Linked DNA regions of Cricetulus griseus. The protein of the gene in region 3 purifies or fractionates together with the protein of the main gene of each other region. This does not show direct contact. Links are inferred from orthologs where the notes say so. Each region holds a gene or a part of one and is shown on either strand. Other genes may lie near its edges. The genes, in order: Jup, Ctnnb1, Cdh2, Ctnnd1 and Ctnna1.

Region 1 (3,515 bases), on a different chromosome or scaffold from region 3:
TCTTTTTTTTTTTTTGTTCTTTGTACATATATTTAGTACAGATTATTAGGGATTTAAGGAATATGTACAATTTTACACCATGGACTGCATTTTCTTAATGCATTACAGAAACAAAAATAAAATGTCACCAATGACACAGAATACTATACTGTAGATACACCACAACAGTCCAGATTTAAGAAGAAACATCAATATAATTATGAAAAGGCTAGCTTACTTAAACTAGTCAAACTTGACTTTGTTAAATTTATGTTATATAGACAGGTAAATTTTGATGACATATTTTAAACAAAGAATCTTGGAAAACATCTTCACACCAATGAGTGAAATGGTATATTTTGCCCTCCCCAAGAAAACAAAGTCTTGTGCAAGCTAATGAAGATACACATACACCTACACACACACACACACCCCAACACACCACACACACACAGACACAGACACACACACAGACACACAGTATGAACAGTATGTTTTCAACAGTATAATAAACAGTTAAAATTTTTATGGGAGTTAAAACAATGCCCCGTTATTTAAAAACTGGCTCATTTAGTCTAAATTCAAGATGCAGCTTTGTCAGGTTTCTCTGAACCAGATGATCGAAAAGCAGGGAAGACAGAGGCAGGATTTTGACTAGCAGATACAACAACTTGAGGAAGAGATGGAGACAATGAGGATACCTTAGATGCTGGAGTATTTATGGTATTTAAAATGGCTCCTTCTGGGATAACCAGTAACTTTTTTGACAGAGGTATCTAAATGAAATACCCTAAAGTGTCATTCTTTCTTGAGCACAGCCCCTCTTTTTAATTTGTGTGTGTGTGTGTGTGTGTGTGTGTGTGTGTGTGTGTGTGTGTGTGTGTAGGTCAGAAGACAACCTCAGGTGTCATCCTCAGGAACACAATCCCCCTCCTCAGATACAGGGTCTCTAACTGGCCCAAGCTCCTTAGGCTAAACTGGCTGGCCAGCAAGCTCCAGGGCTTCCTCCAGTCTCTGCTTCCCCAGGGCAGGGGCTGCAAATGCCCTCTACTGCATCCAGCATTTTTACATGGGTGCTGGAGATTGAACCTGGGTCCTCATGCTTGAGAGGTAAACTCCTCATTGACTGAGCCATCAGCTCCTCCCCACCCAGTGTCTCTACTCCCCTCAAGATCCAGTCCCACTCTTTCTTTCTTTCTTCCTTTTTTTTTTTTTAAGACGGGTTTTCAGTTTGCACTATGCACTATGCAGCCCTGGCTAGCCTAGAACTCTCTGTATAGACCAGGTTGGCTTGGAATACATAGAGATCTCTACCTCTTGAGGACTGGGATCAAAGGTGAGCACCACCATGGCCAGCCGAGCGCAGTCCTAATGACATCAGCACACAGCGCATCTTCACTCCCGCCTCTGAGGTCCTGCACGTCCTAATTATATACCAGGTCCCTGAACAGCTGAGTCACTACTGTGTGTAAGGTCACATAGCAGAGGCCCCGTGACAGCTACAGAGGGGAGTGAAATTCCCCTCAAAGAACTCCCACTCATCTCAGCCGGGAAAGAGGAGAAAAAAATCGCATGGTCGGGTGGGGCTCAGACATGCTCTTCTCTTGCTAGGATAGCCTCTCCTTGATCAAGGCTGACCAAATCCACCCATCTGTCAAAGCCCTGCCCTCAGTACGAGTCTGCCTCTGGGCAATCTCAACCATTCTGTTGCTACAACTTACAGATCCTAACAGTCAGCCTGTTGTTTACGTTACTGTCTCTGGGTTGGGCTATGAGCAGCTGAGAGCCAGGATGGGTGTGGTGCTTCACATGTGTGTATAAAAGGATGCTGGGAGGCCCCTGACGCCTGTGCAACAGAGGAGCAAGTTACCTGAGCATTCGGACTAGCGCAGGGATGCCTCCAGACTTGAAGATAGCGAGCAACCCCTCCCGGTGGTGGGAGAGGTTGTGCAGGATACTCGTGGTGCAACGGGCTGTATCCAGGTCACTGGTGTTCTGCATGGTGCGCACCACAGCCGCCACCAGCTGGGGCGAGCCCATTAGGGCCCGGCGGGATGCCTCCTTCTTGGACAGCTGGTTCACAATCATAGCCGCCTTGGTCACCACTACCTAAAGGAAGTATGAGACCTTGAGCATACAGTCCAGGCAACTCCTCCACAGAGGGAAGGAAGGCAAAGGACAGGACATCCTTCCACAGAGCTTAGATGAGCCAGACACTTTGTGGGGAGCCAGCCTCATGGCTTCCTTCCCTCTGGGGACAGCTAACTTTATCCCACCCCACCTCCAGGCCCTTCACAGACCGGGTCCTCATCGTTGAGCAGCTTGGTGAGCTCAGGCAGGGCCCGGGTGGCCAACTCTGCGTCATCTTGGTAGTTGATGAGATGTACAATGGCCGACTTGAGCAACTGGGATGGCTCTGCCAGCCGCTGCAGGTTGGTGGTCTGCCCCTCCACCTGGGTGGCCAGCAGTAGAGAACTGTCCTCGCCTGACACACCTGGACACATGGCCTCCCGCACCCGCTTGGCTCTGGCCGTCGTGGACATCTGGTACTCCAGGTCACCTGGAAGACAAATGACACAAGGACTGAGCTACAGGAGATTTAGAGGGACCCTGAAGAGCAAGGTAAGCCACACAGACACGGCTCCAAGCTGCCTCGTGCTCCATCAAAGTATAGGGCATCACTCAGGACTCTATACCTAACAAGGTTCTGGGAAATCATCTTTGCCATTGCTTTTATTTATAGCATGAGGCCCATCTAGCCCACCCAGCACAGGGAACTCTATGACAACTAAGATCACAGCCATGACTTGCTTTGAAAAGACTCTTGTCTGACAACTATCATTACAAAAAATGTCTACAGCAATATGTTGTTATATATGTAGTACTGCATATTGTTCTGCAGTACAGTTCTGGGGAGTAAAAGTAGGGCCTCACATTTGCTCAGCAAGCATCTAACCACTGAGCTATATTCCCAGTCTTAAAAAAAAAAAAAAAATTGGGGGCCGGAGAAATGGTTGTGCAGTTAAGAGCACTTACTGCTCTTGCAGAGGACCAAGGTTCCATTCCCAGCACCTACATGGTGGCTCAAAGCCATAGCTTACTGGAGTTCCAGGAGGTTTGGGCTTCTCCCTTCTGGCCAGCATAAGTACTGCACCCATTTGGTGTATATACATACATACATACATACATACATACATACATACATACATGCAAATACACACACACTTAAAAAATTAAAAATGTTTTGTTTCCCAAGCTGACTTTGAACTTACTTTGTACTTGTAATCCTGCCTCAAGTCTACCAAGTACATGGGGGACATCATATACCCTTGCTATCATGGCCAGCTCAGCAATAATTATTAACAGCTATAGCTGAAAATGTAGCTCAGTTGGTAGAATGCTTGCCTAACAAGGTTCCACTCTCAACAATGAATAAAATGAGGCTTGGTGGGACACTTATGTAATTAATTAAAGCACTTCATAAGTGGCAGCAAGAGGAGTTCAAGGTCATCCTTGGCTACACAATGAGTTTAAGA
Region 2 (3,515 bases), on a different chromosome or scaffold from region 3:
GACACCTTGTGTTAGCTGTAGTGCAAGATGACCCTGCTTGGGACACACATTAATAATGGAAATCTGTTCATACAGTACCTAGAGACCACGAACCCCAAGCTTCCATCTGGTTCTTAGTGATTTGATATTTTTCTTCAATATTGTACAGTAAAACTAAAATGCAGACATTACTTAGACTAAAATTTACCTGTGAGAAATGTTACATTCTGTTGTTGATCCTAGGGGCAACTGCACCAGTTGCCATGGTGTGTACATCACTGCTTGAACTCATACAAATCTTTTGATAAATGTATTTCTATTTGTGCTTCAGACTTTGACTTGACAAGTAATTTTGCTTCTTAAATCGCCATTCTGATCAGTGTTATATCAGCAAAAACAACTGATTTGTTTTATAAAAATTTGGTGTTTTTTAAAAACTCCACTGTCTCCATGGCCAGCCCAGTCTGAGTGTCTTTAGCCTTCAGGAATTCACAGAGCAGTTGAAATTTGAATATTGTTCCTTTTGCTGGCTTTCATGGGAGAGCAAAGGAGTTGTTCTCTCTCAGCACCTGTGTGTCTGCTGAGACATGGCCTTCACTCAGAAGGTCAGTGATGGTGGAGCTGTGTTTCAGGGTCTGTGTTTTCAGTGTATCTCATGCTTTTGGTTTGTGTTGGTGGGACATATAACACATGTGGCAGGCATCTGCTTAAATTTTAATGAATTGATTTTTCTTTTCAGGATTATCTGAAGCTTAGTGTACAGCAGCTGTGACACCACACTCGTGCGTGGACGATGGCTACTCAAGGTCTGTGCCCCGGGGAGCTGCTTGTGGCTTCTGTATGCTGCCTTAGAGTCCCTGCTGCTCTCTTGCCCCTGCCGGCTTTGGTTTGCCAGCCTACCTGTTGCTGTTCTGCTTACTACTACCAGCTTGGTGAAATAATCAGCAAGCTACCCGTGGGAGTCTAGCTTGAGTGATTCTGGAACTTGAATGCCACTGGGTTGCCCCTGTTCTACCATGGAGCACACACTGGCTATCATTCTGATCTCCTTGGTTGCTGAAATACGTTTCTAAATGTATTTCAATGGGTCATTGTCATGGATATTTTATTCAGGTATCATTTTCAGTGCACTAAATTGTTTTGTTTTTACAGCTGATCTAATGGAGTTGGACATGGCCATGGAGCCGGACAGAAAAGCTGCTGTTAGTCACTGGCAGCAGCAGTCATACTTGGATTCTGGAATCCATTCTGGTGCCACCACCACAGCTCCTTCTCTGAGTGGCAAGGGCAACCCTGAGGAAGAAGATGTGGACACCTCCCAAGTCCTGTATGAGTGGGAGCAAGGTTTTTCCCAGTCCTTCACTCAAGAGCAAGTGGCGGGTAAAAAGCATTTGTGTGTTTAAAAGCTAGAGTTGGGTTTCTTAGCAAGGGTGTGTGGTGGCAGAGACACACAGGCACAAGTGAAAAGCAGAGGAAAGTCGGGTGCATTGTTACTTAGCACTTAGGACAGTGAAGTCTCACATGGATTTTCCTTTCCCAGATATTGACGGACAGTACGCCATGACTCGGGCTCAGAGGGTGCGAGCTGCCATGTTCCCTGAGACCCTAGATGAGGGTATGCAGATCCCGTCCACACAGTTTGACGCGGCTCATCCCACCAACGTCCAGCGCCTGGCTGAGCCATCCCAGATGCTGAAGCATGCCGTTGTTAATTTGATTAACTATCAGGATGACGCGGAACTTGCCACACGTGCAATTCCCGAGCTGACAAAACTGCTAAATGATGAGGACCAGGTAAGCAGTTACACAGCTTGCTTCCCGTTTACTTTGAGGGAAACTGAGAGGGTGACGATGGCTGTTCGATGTCAGTATTTGGAAACTAATGGTGCTTCTTCACCCCCTGTACTCTAGGTGGTAGTTAATAAAGCTGCTGTTATGGTTCATCAGCTTTCCAAAAAGGAAGCTTCCAGACATGCCATCATGCGCTCTCCTCAGATGGTGTCTGCTATTGTACGCACCATGCAGAACACAAATGATGTAGAAACAGCTCGTTGTACTGCTGGGACCTTACACAACCTTTCTCACCACCGTGAGGGCTTGCTGGCCATCTTTAAATCTGGAGGCATTCCTGCTCTGGTGAAAATGCTTGGGTAAGAAAGTGGTCGGTCACATAACCAGAAAGGTGGGAAGAAGAAGGGTGCCAGTATTGGCTTGACAAAGGTTCTTTTCTTTCTTCTCAGGTCACCAGTGGATTCTGTTCTGTTCTATGCCATCACGACGCTGCACAACCTCCTGCTACATCAGGAAGGAGCTAAAATGGCGGTGCGCCTAGCCGGTGGACTGCAAAAAATGGTTGCTTTGCTCAACAAAACAAACGTGAAATTCTTGGCTATTACAACAGACTGCCTGCAGATCTTAGCTTATGGCAATCAAGAGAGCAAGGTAAAGTCATGAAAGCTGTTAGCATGGGGCACAGAGGCTCCACAGGCTCCAGACTCACTGACCTGCCCTTTGTGTGCACCCTAGAGGAGCTGCACTCTGTCCTCTCAACATTGAGTGTCTGTGTGCACCGTGCTGTGCATCGCACTGAGTGGACACGAAAAGGCCTCCAGAGTCTTTACCCTTGAGATAATTGCCAATCTGACTAGAAGGAAGGGGTTCAGTACACAGAAGAAACATTGTTCTGAGGGCCTTGTGGAGATGCTTGAGAGGCAGTGAGGTGTTTATAGTAGGTGGAGGCAGGTGAGAGAGAGGAAGGCATGTAGGGAAGCCCTGAAGGGGAAGGAGGGTGGTGTGGGTGGGGCTTTCAGAGTATAGTGCTTGAGAAAGTTTTGGGGTAAGGCTGTAAACACATAGTCTGGGTAGACCTTGTGAGGCTTGTAGGGCATACCAAAGACCAGGTGATGTAACTTTGAGCATAGGTATGAAATAGATCTGCTTGTGGAAATGTTTTCTGCAGTGTTTTCAGAAGGTCAAGGGCAGAGGCTATGGGCTCTTAGTGCCCATTTTCAACTGGCAGTTCTGACAACTTTCACTACTACAGGCAAACATGGTTGCTTTTCATATTCTTTTTCTTTATGTTCCATTTGGGGAGATGGCCAGAGTTGGTGTTTTTTTTTTTTTTTTTTTTTTCCTCTAATGGTTTATTTCTTATTAGTTTACGTGCATTGATGTTTTGCCTGCATGTGTGTCTTGGTCGGGGGTGGTATGTCCGATACACTGGAACTGGACTTAAGAGACAGTTGGGGATGCTGGGAATTGATTGAGTCCGGGTTAGTAAGTAGTGCACAAGTAGTGCTCTTAACTACTGAGCCATCTCTCCAGCCCAAGTTGATGTATTCTTGAAAGTGTTGGCATGCCTGGACTTGAGCAGAATACTGTAGTATAGAAGTCACATACCTAGGACCCCCCAGTTTGAGACCTTGCGTCAGAGAGGTCCAGAGATACACTTTGATGTGACACAGTAACTTGCTGATGGGTTCCTCTCCAGCATTTCTGGAGTTGTATGACACTAGTTGTACGTCTTCCTAGCTGAT
Region 3 (3,515 bases):
TTCATAAAGTAACATGATGCTTGTTGGTTTTGAGGCACAACCAGGCTTCTCACTTAACGAGGTGTATAGCTTCTAATTGGAAGAGTATTTGCAATGAGAGAACTGAGCTGTCTGGCACTGTGAAGCCACACAGGTGAACCTTACTAATCACAAGGCAGAAGAGAGAACTTGGCTGGGCCTTAGTTTCCTTATTATAAATGGCTTCACTGTCACCTGCTTTGTTAAGTTATCTTAAAGCAATAGTACATGTAAACATTACTCAAGCGATCAAGCAACTAGTGTTGATGATAGCATAAGGAGAGTAAAACACTATTCCCATCAGTGCTTCTCTCCTCTGATCTGTTGTGTTTCTTATATTCTTTGTCCACTGCCTTCTCAGGACTGTGGATATGTACACCTTCCTAAGTTCCATGACCTTCAGCCATATTTCTGGGAGTCAGTGTATGAAACTTTATAAAACACATATAAATAAAAATAATAGGTATATAAATGCACACATATAAAACTTCTTAGATATATGTGGATATTATAATACTGCAGAAGCCAGACTAAGAAATCACATGTGCTAGGAGAGATAGCATTACAGGGTCAATAAGAACAGGTTTGCAGTCAGGCAGAGCTGGTGTACACAGTTTTGTATACTCTAAAGTATGCCATGAGCAGTTTGCAGAGACTGAGGTCTCTCCCCTGTTTAAAACTCCTGCATAGTAATACCATGCATTAGTGTATAACGAGCAGCCCCAGTCCTTTCTTGTGTGTGGTTGACTGAGTATATGTTCCCAAGACCAAGTCTTCTCTCAGCTGCCTGTAAATAGTTGTCATTATTACAGCTGTTCTGAGCTTTTGGAACTCTCCTCCAATCATACATGTCCTGGATCTCCACCAAGAGGCTGGGGTCCATAATCTCAGGAGCCCCCCTGCTCCTCTGGCATTCCTCAGTGTTCTGGAGGAGTCCAGTGTTCATGAGCCCAGAGTGATGGACAGCTAGAGAAGGGAAGGCTTGAGCTCCATGCTCAGCTTGAATAGCTGCACCAACAGTTCAGCGTAATCCTAGCAGAGAAATAAGAATCGAGCTTGTTCCAAAGCCTACCCATTCAGCTCCTGTGACAGTGAGCATTTTCCCATATGATACAGTGATAGGGACAAGAGACTTCAAAAACATAAGAATTGAGCCTCGGCTGAGACATTGTTGCCCTAAACTATGACTTTTCTCTCCTTTTAGGAATTCCTCCTATGAGTGGAACGGGAACACTGCAAATCTATTTACTTGATATCAATGACAACGCCCCTCAGGTGTTACCTCAAGAGGCTGAGACTTGTGAAACTCCAGAACCCAATTCAATTAACATCACAGCACTTGATTATGACATTGATCCAAATGCTGGGCCATTTGCTTTTGATCTTCCTTTATCTCCAGTGACTATTAAAAGAAACTGGACCATCACCCGACTTAATGGTAAGAACAGGTTCATTACTTGAACGGATGTGTAGTTAAGTAGTTTGGAACCCTGGTATAGGAAATTAATTTTACATACTTCATAATCTTCTCATTAAATATATTTTAAGTGCTATTTAAGGGTTTAGATCAGATATTAAAAGACCTTGAAACACAAAACAATTTTCACAATACAGCAAAATTGTGAATTGTTTAATGGGGTACAGTTATGAAATACATTCTCAAAAGTAGTGGATGTTTTTTCTTTAAATCTTACTAGGTACTGACTGTCAAATTTGTTTTCTTTTTCTCTCTTTTCTGTATAGGTGATTTTGCTCAACTCAATTTAAAAATAAAATTTTTGGAAGCTGGTATCTATGAAGTTCCCATCATTATTACAGATTCAGGGAATCCTCCCAAGTCCAATATTTCCATCCTGCGTGTGAAGGTTTGCCAGTGTGACTCCAATGGAGACTGTACAGATGTGGACAGGATTGTAGGTGCCGGGCTGGGCACTGGTGCCATCATTGCTATTCTGCTTTGTATCATCATCCTGCTAAGTGAGTACTTTGTCCTGGAGGCTGTGATGCCATCTACTTCTAGGATGCTCAGGAAGGGACCACATCAAAATAACTGAGCAAGTCTATTGGACTCCTGAGCACCATGCCGTCAATATAATGCAAGCAGACAAAGTCCCGTTAGCCTAAAAGCAACAAGCATCATTTAGAGTGCTGACTTGTTTTCAGCAAGCTGCTAGGATTGTGTTCCCACACCTTCTCAATCACTTTTTGGTGCTGATTGCTGGAGGCCACAGGAAGCCCTTTCCTCAGAGAAATGTTAAGCAGTCCTAGCTTGGAGAACTTATCTTGACTTGAGTATGAATTATGGCACATAATTGATGATTTAGCAAAATAGGTGTATTGCTTTCCTTCACTTCCCTGCATATAAAGTACAGTCAGAAACCTGCTCCAGTCATGGGAAGATCAAGGTATTTGTTTCTGAAGGGCTGCACAAAATAGTGAGATTATACGTCACACACAGGGCATTTGATAGTAGAAATGATTACATAGCTCCGTAAATCGTCTGTCTTTAGCATAAGTGTAGATTAAGGAATTTCTTCTTTTTAAGACACTTTGCATTCTTTGGTTCAGTGGAATGCAAGAAATTAACCACCGGAAAGTACTTTAAGAATCACTTCTAAGCATTCAGGTTAAAAGAATAAATTGCCTGGGCCCAGTATTTTATTGTAGAATAGCAGCAGGACTCAGTTTATTGTGTGATCACGCTATGCACCAATCACTTTCTTGAAAATGTTGGCCATTTCCTTTATGTTTTCTCCATTTACAAGTGTTCTGGTAATTTAGAATTCCATCCCTTTTTTTTCTAAGCAATTACTATAGAAGCCTGAGCATTTTTTACTTCCTGTGTGGAGACTGCTTTGGCTATAATTTGAAACCTGCATGCTATACTAATAATCCACTTGCTAGATTTAGCCCTGAACAATGGCAAATGAGATCATGTATCTGGCTTTAAAGGGAGGATATTTACTTTTATGGCCAATAATAAAAATGTGCTCAAATAGGAGTCATTAAATCTTTTTGTTTCAGGATGAAAACTGATATGCTCAGATTTTAGACAGAATTTATTCCTAGATCTGTGTTCAGGAAGGGGGAGGGGGTGTTCACTCTCAACCACGCCAGCCTTATCGAGACAAACATAGGGATGATAGATTCAGCCATGACAAAGTGACACTAGCATTTTGAAGGAAAATGAATTGGCACTGATTTTAACATCAACTTGGGAGAATTTATGGTTTCAGACCTGGCATTGAGTGTGAAGGATGAAAGCCTAATATTATTTCAGTGCTCAAACCAATCCCCATGCCTTCATAGCTGCAGTGGGGTGGGGATGAAAATGCAGAATAGCATGACAGAGAAACACCAGCCCCTACAAGTCAAAAAACAACCCAGAATCCAATTACATACCCAACCCTCATTTCCTGCCCTAGCCATCTAAACAAACACTTGTTCCCAGGAGAAGTGCCTTTCTCTGGGAATTTGGGAGTATAATGATGAATGAC
Region 4 (3,983 bases), on a different chromosome or scaffold from region 3:
GTCAGGGACAGGAGGACCTATAAGGTATTAACAGAGGGTGACCATAATAGAAAACTAGAAATTGTACAAAGCTAAATATTTTGCTAGTGCAATTGATAGTGACCCAACTAAATTTATTTGCCTGCATCCCGCCTCATCCATCCTTAAGAAGCCAACTATTTGATAAACCTAAGGCTGGGATGTAATTACATGAAGCTTTCCTTTTCTTTCTTTCTTTTTTTTTTTTTTAATAAATCTCCAAGAGTCCCAATTTTAGACCAACACAGAACATGTTCTGACCCCTCTGGCTGTTCATACTGCAATCCTAAGAAAGGCACTGGAACTATAACCAGCCATGAGACGCCTCACACACACACCTGAAACAGACCACTACCTCACTCACATAACAAAGAAACTAAGCAAATTATATACAAAGCAAACAAGGAAAGAAAATCTGTACTATTCATACTCATCTGTCATCATTTTCACCCCAAAATCAAAATACAAAGCACAGCAAATAGTAATAATAGCAAAATAGAAGATTACTTATCTGTACCCTTTCCTATAATTCCTCAAAGAACCAGCAGAGGTGAAGTAAAAGATAAAAATCTTCCATCTTATCACCTCAAAAGGCTCTATATTAATTACACCGAAGGCCAAACAATGCTTTAATTTGTAAAAATAGTCCTGGCTTCTAATGCTGTTGAACCTAGCTACACAAAGCCCAGTTTCAAAGCCGGACCCAGATCACCACCAGTCATCCAGAACCTATTTTCAAACTGCCTTTGTACTCCTCCTTCAGACTCTCATCCCTCCCCCTAAAGGTTGAGCGAGAAACCGACACTCTGGCAGCAACAGACCAACCCTCCAAAGACCCCACCAAGAAACCTCCCGAGAAAAGCATTTCAAAGGAAAACTAAAGAACTGGAAATGAGAAATACGGTCCAACTGACTGTACACATTGTCTTCTTTCTTTCTTTTCAACTACTTCTTTTAATTCTGAAGTCTAGATGTCAAATCTTTTCCTGTAACCCTCACCTAAACTATATGAAAAGGGGAACAAAAGTTGTTTCCTCCATAAGCCACAAACCTCACAAGGACAAAATCATCTTGCAAGGAATGTCTTCACTGTAGAAAAAAATCAAGGAAGTATTCCAGTCTAAAAAGAATGGGGGCAGGGACTATGAAATCAGAAGATTCGTATCAATTTAAAGGTAATGAGCAGCTTACACATTAAGACTCATCTTGCTACAATTAGAGCAATATCTATACCAGCCCAAATTTCCATACTGAATCCCATTTTAAAAGAATACCATATTTTGCAGCTACTGATGAGTAGGCTATATAATTATCTGGGATCAGCACATTTGCAAGAACGTATGTACAAAAAGCAAAACCAAACAAATCTTAAGGCCAATTATAAAACATGAAGCAGTCATAGGCCTTTATCTCTAACAGATTCTAACTTAATGGTAAGTTAACCAACCAAACAAACAAAAGACAACTGTAAAAATCACCTTTCCACTGGCTTAGAAATAAAATTCCCTTTGTGCTTTCTCAAATGGGTTTGCAAACTCAAGTTTTCATTAAGTGGTTCCCTTTCGTCTGATCATTCACAACCTACAGCCCTTTTGGAAACCAAGAGGGCTGAAAAGACTCTCAGGTGTTCTGCCGCTTTCCTCTGGTCAACAGAAAGCATGGTTAGAATTCCTTACCCCTTAAAGCACCAACATTATCATATTTGCAGGTCTAACACACGACACCTTCACAAATCTCTGCCATCAAAAGTATTTTTAGGCTTAAAAACAAAAAAAGTGGTGGCAATTCAGTTAACATAGATCCATTTGTTTTTCAAGGCAAAGCAAAGGGGTTCCTACTAACAGGCTAGGCTCCCTCCCACCCACCTCACCTGGAAAAGTAAGGGATCCACCCAGGAAGAGCAGAGCTGAAAAGCATCTGGGCCGTTCGAACTCAGGAGGAAAAAAACAATGAATACTATTTAAGCTCTAAAGCTCCCTGCAACTTTCTACTGCCACAGATTCAAAGGTGAGGGGGCTGAAAGTTTTGAAACATGGTAAGAGCCATCTATACAACTTTCTCCTGACCAGGACAAATTCCTTTCCCAACCCACACACAACATGCCAAGAAAACAACTTTTTGAGCTCTGAAAACAGAAGTATGTTAGCTTAATTCAGAAAAATAAAATAAAATGAAATAAAAGTACACACAAAAATGTAATTTACACAACTTCTACCTCCCGGTTCTAAACCAGCTTCCGGTATTAGGTCCAGTACATTTACCTTTTCCTTAACATAAATAAAATACCAAAATACATCCAAAGCATTAAAAGTAGAAAAAATAACTGGCTAAAATTCACCGTCAGCTTTAACAGGCTCTCTTGCCTTTTTTTAAATTCCCTCCAGTTACCATTAAGACAAAAATTCTACTTGGGTTATCCTTTTCCCAACTAGTTATACACACATTTTTATAAAAGGAAAAAATGAAAAGAACACACACCTCAAATGTGGACTTCTAAAGCCAATCCTTTAAGACACAAACCCAAAGCTTCACCGGTGTGCTGTGAAAGACAATCCAGCGAGGTTCAGGCCACCTCTTCCTCTTCCTCTTTCAGGATCTTTCCTGCCTCTTTCCCTCTCCCTCCGTGTCTGTCTCTGTCTCCCTCCCGTCCTCCTGTTCTCTCTCTCTCTCTCTCTCTCTCTCTCTCTCTCTCTCTCTCTCTCTCTCTCTCTTTCCCCTCAGATCCAACACCTAAAATGGAAGTTGCACCCAGCCAAAGGCAAGGGAGCCTGGGTGGTGACAAACTGATCTGGCAGCCCTACCCTAGCTTTCCTAAGTGATGTCAGCCCCTGCGAGCTTCCAATAGGAGCCAGGCATAAATCAGGGAGCTGACCTTATCCAATAGGAAACTTTATTATAGGAAATTAAAAAAAAGAGAGAGAGAAAGACAAGGAAGTTTTAAATATATGTATTATATATATATTTATATTTAAAGCGGAGACTATACAATCTCCAAGGAATTACTGCAGAGCTCAGGGGGAGGTGGGAGGTGCTAGATAACAAAGCTTTTTTAGAACGGCACGCCTAAGCCTCAGTTCTCTTTGATGAGGGTCTTGCTCCCTTCCCCTACCTATCAGGGTGGGTAAACGGAAAAGAGCTTACTTTATTTGCCTGCTGCTGTTTGGTTTCTTGCTTTCTTCCCCAAAGCATTTCCCAATGGAAGCCAGGAAGGAAGGAGAGAGAAATCCCAGAAACAGGACTGTTGATTGGGATGGTAGGAAATATCTCAGGCAAACTCTCAATTTCATTGTTTTGATTTAATTGCATTAGCGTTTATGAGGAAAAATAAATGCTTAGGCTTGTTGCTAGCTTGTTAGCCTCTCTGCTTTAAACTAAAAGGAAGCAGAATCCACAGAGCTGTTGAGGAAAACCACTGTCTTTCCATAAAAGAAATGTGGGTTTGCCTGGTACAATAGACAGAATCTAGTAAACAAAAAGTTTAGAATAGATAAGAATATAGTTAAAATAATTAAGGGAATGCTATTTGTGAACTCAAAATTACCTGGCATTTTTATTTGACCTAAATAAAACATACAGGAATTTTCCTCTAGATTTGTTTAAGATTTAGGAGGGGAAGGGGTTTTGCTTATTGTTGCTTTGTTTTGTTTGAGACAAGGTCTCACTGGACCACTGGCTGGCCTCAAACTTAAAATCCCTCAGCCTCTGCCTTCTCAGTGATGGGAATGCTGGCATATTACCACTTGGTAAGACTAGTATCAGTTACTTACTAATTACTAAACAAAGATAATGAATTGGAAGGTTTCTCTTTATATTTTCTAAATTAAATGTGTGTATCTGTGTTTAAATATGTGCATAGGCATACATGTACTACAGCACTCATGTTCAGGTCTGAGAACAATTTACAGGAATCCCTTCTCTCCTTCTTCTGTATGGGTCCAGGGGATCAAACCTAGGTCATAAGGCTT
Region 5 (4,203 bases), about 17 Mb from region 3:
AGAAAACATTTAATGGAGATCCAATTTCCAATTACCTTTCTAGAGGTTTAGTCCATGGTGGGAAGCATGGCAGCATTCAGGCAGAAGGATCTGAGAGTTCTTATATCTTGATCAGCAGGCAACAGGAAGGAGTCTGTGTCCTGGGGTTAGGTTGAATATAGGAGACCTGAAAGTCCCCCCCCCCCAGTGACACATTCTCTCCAATGGGGCAACGAACCCACACCCAGTAGTGCTCTTTGGGGGGCCACTATCTTTCAAACCACCAGAGTCAAAACCCCCAAACTAGAAACAAAAAGCATGTAATTGGACAAGAATGGCCTTTTTTGTTTGTAGTGCTGAAGACTGAACCCAGGGCATAGTAGGCATCTCCAAACCACTTTTCCTAGAATTAAAATTTATTACTTTGTGTGGGTGAATATGCCACCTGCACCAGGGTGGAAGTCAGAGGTCAACTCTGTGGCCTTCATACTCTTAGTACGTCATTGTTGGTAGAGGGCAAACATTTTTACCCACTGATCATCTCTCTCATCTGCCCACTCTTTAAGAGGCCCCAAACCAAGTGTAATGGTGCAGGCCTATAATCTCAGCAGCTGGGAGGTGAGCAGGAGAATCAAGAGTTTAAGGCAAGTTGGCACTGGCCACCCAGCCCTGCAACCTGAGTTCAATCCCCAGGACCCACATGGTGAGAGAAAACCACAGATTATCCTGATTTGTACACAAGCACAAGCTTTGTGCCGCCCCTCGGCCCAAATGCAAAAAAAAAAAAAAGTTTATTCTTGCCGACATAGCCAGTTCAAGACCAGTTTGACCTACGTGAGAACCTACCTCAAAAATAAAACTAAACAAACACCAAAAAACAAAAAAAAAACCCGAAACAAAACAAAACAAAAAACCGTTCTGAGAATCGGATTCCCGTTCCACTGTGCCGGGAGATGTGGAACGTTTACTTGGAGTTGTTTCTCTTCGGGTAAAGCAAGGAGTAGGCTGCCCCCTTTTCTGGGCGCCTTGGACCAGGGGACAAGATGACATTCGCCACAGGAGTGAGACCAGCAGGACCCCGCGGCGTCACGCTGGTCCCGGGACGTCGGACGGGGCGGGGCCTTCCGGGGCCGCGCCCCGAGACTCACCTGAGTTGGGAGCGGTGACTCACCTGCCCTCCGCCCGCCTTCCCCGGCTGCGGGCTGTTCCGTGAGTCGCCGCCCCTCCTTCCCGTCGGGGGTCAGGCTGTGCGCGCCCCGAGGCCGAACGAAAGGGACTTCTGGGGGTCCCAGCCTGGAGTTGCCAGGCTACCATCCCGGAGGGAGGCTCTTCCCCGAAAGCGCCCGCCGCCGCAGGCCGGGACGAGCGGTGTGGAGGCCGCGGGAGGCGCTGGGAAGAGCGCGCGGAGGGAGGTGCCGGGAAGGGCGGGCGGGCGCGGCGCGGGGCGGGCCGGGGGCGGGAGCGCAGGGCGGCCCATTTCCTCCTGGGAGCCGGACGGGCGGGAGACAAAGCGGCGGCCGTCGGCTTGGCGCCTCAGGAGTCGTCCTGCGTTCTCCTCGCTCGCCGCAGGTAAATCTTTGTGCCTCCCCTCGGGGCGCGCGCGGGGCCCCTGGTGGGCCGAGGGTCTCCGCTGGCCGGGGTCCGGGTGACGGCGCAGGCAGGCTCTGGGCGGCCTCCGCCCTGGGGAGCGTCGGGCCAGGGCGGCTTCCCGGAGCAGCCTGGGCCTGGGCGGGCGGAGCCCGACGCTCGGGAAGCGGAGCTACCGCCGCGGCGCCTTCTCGGAAAACTTTCTCCCTCTTTCTAAACTTTGTTCCCCGAGCAGGGCGCGCGCTCGCGGGACGGGCGTCGCGCCTCGGGCCGCCTCCCCCGCTGAGAGGCGACCTCGGAGTGTCTCTGGCGTTCCGGCGGTGGGGTGTTTTAAGGGTCGCGATTGTTCCCTGGATTTGTGCCGGCCGCGCCCCTCCCCCCTTTCTCCCCCTCGCTGAAAGTTGGGCGTTTGCGGGGGCCAGAGGTCGGGGGAGCTGGCATTCCAGTCCGACCCACGGAGTGTGAGAGCCGTAGCTTCCTGCTCTCCAGGGCTCTTGTCCTTTAAGGTGCGCCACACCCGTGTGAACCTGTGGCAAGAAGTTGTTAATCTTTACTTTAAAATTACTCATCCGCGTTCTCTGCCTGACTGGACTGACTTTACACCCAGTTTTCAGGAGTGGCGTTAGGGTCTTGTTACTGACCTTGTGCTACCGAGGGCTGGTCTTGCTAAGTAGCCCAGGATGGCCTGGAACACTCGGGCTCCCTGCCTTAGCTTCCCGAGGGCGGACATTGCAAGCCTGCGATGTCAATGCCCCGCCTTCCTTTAAAAGGAACTTGTTAATGTGTGTAGAACTTGGAGGAAAAATGTTGACTGGATGGGTAGCCTTGGATTGCAAGCAGTGGCCATCCCAGTAATTCAGTTAGCAGTTGGCTCAAATTGACGGTTGATACCCTCTTAAGTTCTTCGTCTTCATAACATTTTTTGTGTGTTTTGTATAGAATGCACAATAATTTATAATGTAAACTCATGCATACATCACTGTATTGTGTATGTGTATTGTATCTTTATGATAGGTGTTTTTGAAAAGGATATTTTGTGTTTAACTGATTCTTAAAGACTACAGGTGGTTGTTACTTTAAGAAACGGAGTTTGTTTTAGTTTACAAAAGGATTGAGCGGGGAAATCATTCGTAGCCTCTGCTCAATTGTTTATACGTCCTGATTCAACTAAGTCAGAAAATAGGTTTTAAAATTACTCTTTGTTTGAGGATCAGAAGTTTCTCTAGTGTCGTATCCTTTTTTTTTTTTTTCCCCTCAGACTGGCTCTCACTATGAAATCCACGCTAGCTTAAGCTTCTTGATTGTTGGGATTCAGACGTGTTCCATACGTAACACCTGTCTGGGTCAAATTTGTGTATAATGCAAACAACAGAAATTCACAGATGCTTGGAGTGTTAATACGTTTATAAGTCTGGGAGTCCTGGAAGGTGGTGGCTTTTGAATTGGGTGAAGCACGAGTTGAAGTCACGTGGCAGGAGAAAGTAGGGGAAAGGCATAAAAGGGCATGTAAGTGTGGGGAATCTGATGTTCTGTTTTTTGTTTTTTTTTTTCTTTAGTTTTCACTCCCTCCCTTTCCTGCATGTAATCTATCCTGAGAACATTGGTTTTCAGCACCAGTTATATAGTACCACCTCCATTCCCATCAGAAACATTTTATATATTGGTTAGAGATGAGGGGTGTCTTTTTTCCTAGTTGAGAATCACTGCCTTGTGCCTTCTCTCATCAACCCCCCTTTCTGCCCTCTGTGGTGTTGGGGAAACAAACCTAGAGCCTTGTATATGCTAGTCAAATAATGTACCATGAGCTGTACAACCCCCCTTACCTCTGCCATCAACCTTAGCTGCTAACGTCCCGCTCCTTTTTTTGGGTTTAGGTGTCTCTCTTGAGCCACATGGGTCTCCTTGTATATCCCACGGCTTCTCAAACCATATCTGATGTGAGACTTAATTCTGTTTTGGAGATCTCAACCAGATGTGGAGAGCCAGAGTAACTGGTACGAATGGTCTTGAATTCTTTTAAAGTCACATTACTGACAGCACAGATAGCCCTGCTTGTTGAAGGTGGTGATAGTTAAGTGTACTGGCTAAAACCTAGACCAGAATAAAGGAATAGGGTCCTTAACAGATGTATATAGCCTGAGCATTGGCACAGTATTTGGAGGACTAGAGGTGTAGAGATGATCTTTGTATTATGAGTACTGAAATAGGGAGGTTTAATAAGGTGGTCAGGGAAGGCAAAGGCCAGGTCACAGATGGCTGTGTGTAGATTTTATTCTAAAGCTGTAAGAAGCCATTCTAGGGCCTTCCATGATCTGAGCAGCTTTTTATTTTTTGTTGGTGCTCAGAGATTTGAATTCTTTCGTGTCTAAAAGCAGGGAGTTGACTGAGGAAGGTAATGTGGATAAAGGTGATCAGGATGAATGGAGTTGTATTTTGGAAAAGGGGGTAAAGATTGGTTTGGTGATGGGGTGTAGGCCTCTTGATAAAGTTTTTTTTTTAAGCATTGAACTCTCAGTTATGTCTCAAGATCTAGTGTAGCACGAATTCTAGCAGTCAGCTATCAGGCTGAAAGCTGAAAGATCACAGCAGCAGAGCAGCCTGCCCCTAGAGAGTTCTCACCTCCACCAGTGCTCAGAC

The links.
Region 1: the proteins of Cdh2 (region 3) and Jup purify together in Homo sapiens (co-immunoprecipitation; 4 studies listed by BioGRID and IntAct, with this or other methods). This does not show direct contact. The link is inferred for Cricetulus griseus from reciprocal best matches to the Homo sapiens genes CDH2 and JUP.
Region 2: the proteins of Cdh2 (region 3) and Ctnnb1 purify together in Homo sapiens (affinity purification with western blotting; 18 studies listed by BioGRID and IntAct, with this or other methods). This does not show direct contact. The link is inferred for Cricetulus griseus from reciprocal best matches to the Homo sapiens genes CDH2 and CTNNB1.
Region 4: the proteins of Cdh2 (region 3) and Ctnnd1 purify together in Homo sapiens (affinity purification with western blotting; 6 studies listed by BioGRID and IntAct, with this or other methods). This does not show direct contact. The link is inferred for Cricetulus griseus from reciprocal best matches to the Homo sapiens genes CDH2 and CTNND1.
Region 5: the proteins of Cdh2 (region 3) and Ctnna1 purify together in Homo sapiens (affinity purification with mass spectrometry; 4 studies listed by BioGRID and IntAct, with this or other methods). This does not show direct contact. The link is inferred for Cricetulus griseus from reciprocal best matches to the Homo sapiens genes CDH2 and CTNNA1.

What each region holds. Positions count from the first base shown.
Region 1 is NC_048600.1:113,441,795-113,445,309, forward strand, and holds part of Jup (junction plakoglobin), read right to left. Parts: intron 2,540-3,515; coding exon 2,280-2,539; intron 2,089-2,279; coding exon 1,850-2,088; intron 1-1,849. UniProt on the Homo sapiens protein: Common junctional plaque protein. The membrane-associated plaques are architectural elements in an important strategic position to influence the arrangement and function of both the cytoskeleton and the cells within the tissue.
Region 2 is NC_048597.1:228,008,201-228,011,715, forward strand, and holds part of Ctnnb1 (catenin beta-1), read left to right. Parts: intron 1-718; 5' UTR 719-772; coding exon 773-785; intron 786-1,131; coding exon 1,132-1,359; intron 1,360-1,519; coding exon 1,520-1,773; intron 1,774-1,890; coding exon 1,891-2,129; intron 2,130-2,219; coding exon 2,220-2,421; intron 2,422-3,510; coding exon 3,511-3,515. UniProt on the Homo sapiens protein: Key downstream component of the canonical Wnt signaling pathway.
Region 3 is NC_048595.1:219,837,259-219,840,773, forward strand, and holds part of Cdh2 (cadherin-2), read left to right. Parts: intron 1-1,222; coding exon 1,223-1,456; intron 1,457-1,761; coding exon 1,762-1,995; intron 1,996-3,515. UniProt on the Homo sapiens protein: Calcium-dependent cell adhesion protein; preferentially mediates homotypic cell-cell adhesion by dimerization with a CDH2 chain from another cell. Cadherins may thus contribute to the sorting of heterogeneous cell types.
Region 4 is NC_048599.1:90,880,160-90,884,142, reverse strand, and holds the start of Ctnnd1 (catenin delta-1), read right to left. Parts: upstream 2,804-3,983; 5' UTR 2,497-2,803; intron 1-2,496. UniProt on the Homo sapiens protein: Key regulator of cell-cell adhesion that associates with and regulates the cell adhesion properties of both C-, E- and N-cadherins, being critical for their surface stability.
Region 5 is NC_048595.1:202,375,351-202,379,553, reverse strand, and holds the start of Ctnna1 (catenin alpha-1), read left to right. Parts: upstream 1-1,399; 5' UTR 1,400-1,548; intron 1,549-4,203. UniProt on the Homo sapiens protein: Associates with the cytoplasmic domain of a variety of cadherins. The association of catenins to cadherins produces a complex which is linked to the actin filament network, and which seems to be of primary importance for cadherins cell-adhesion properties.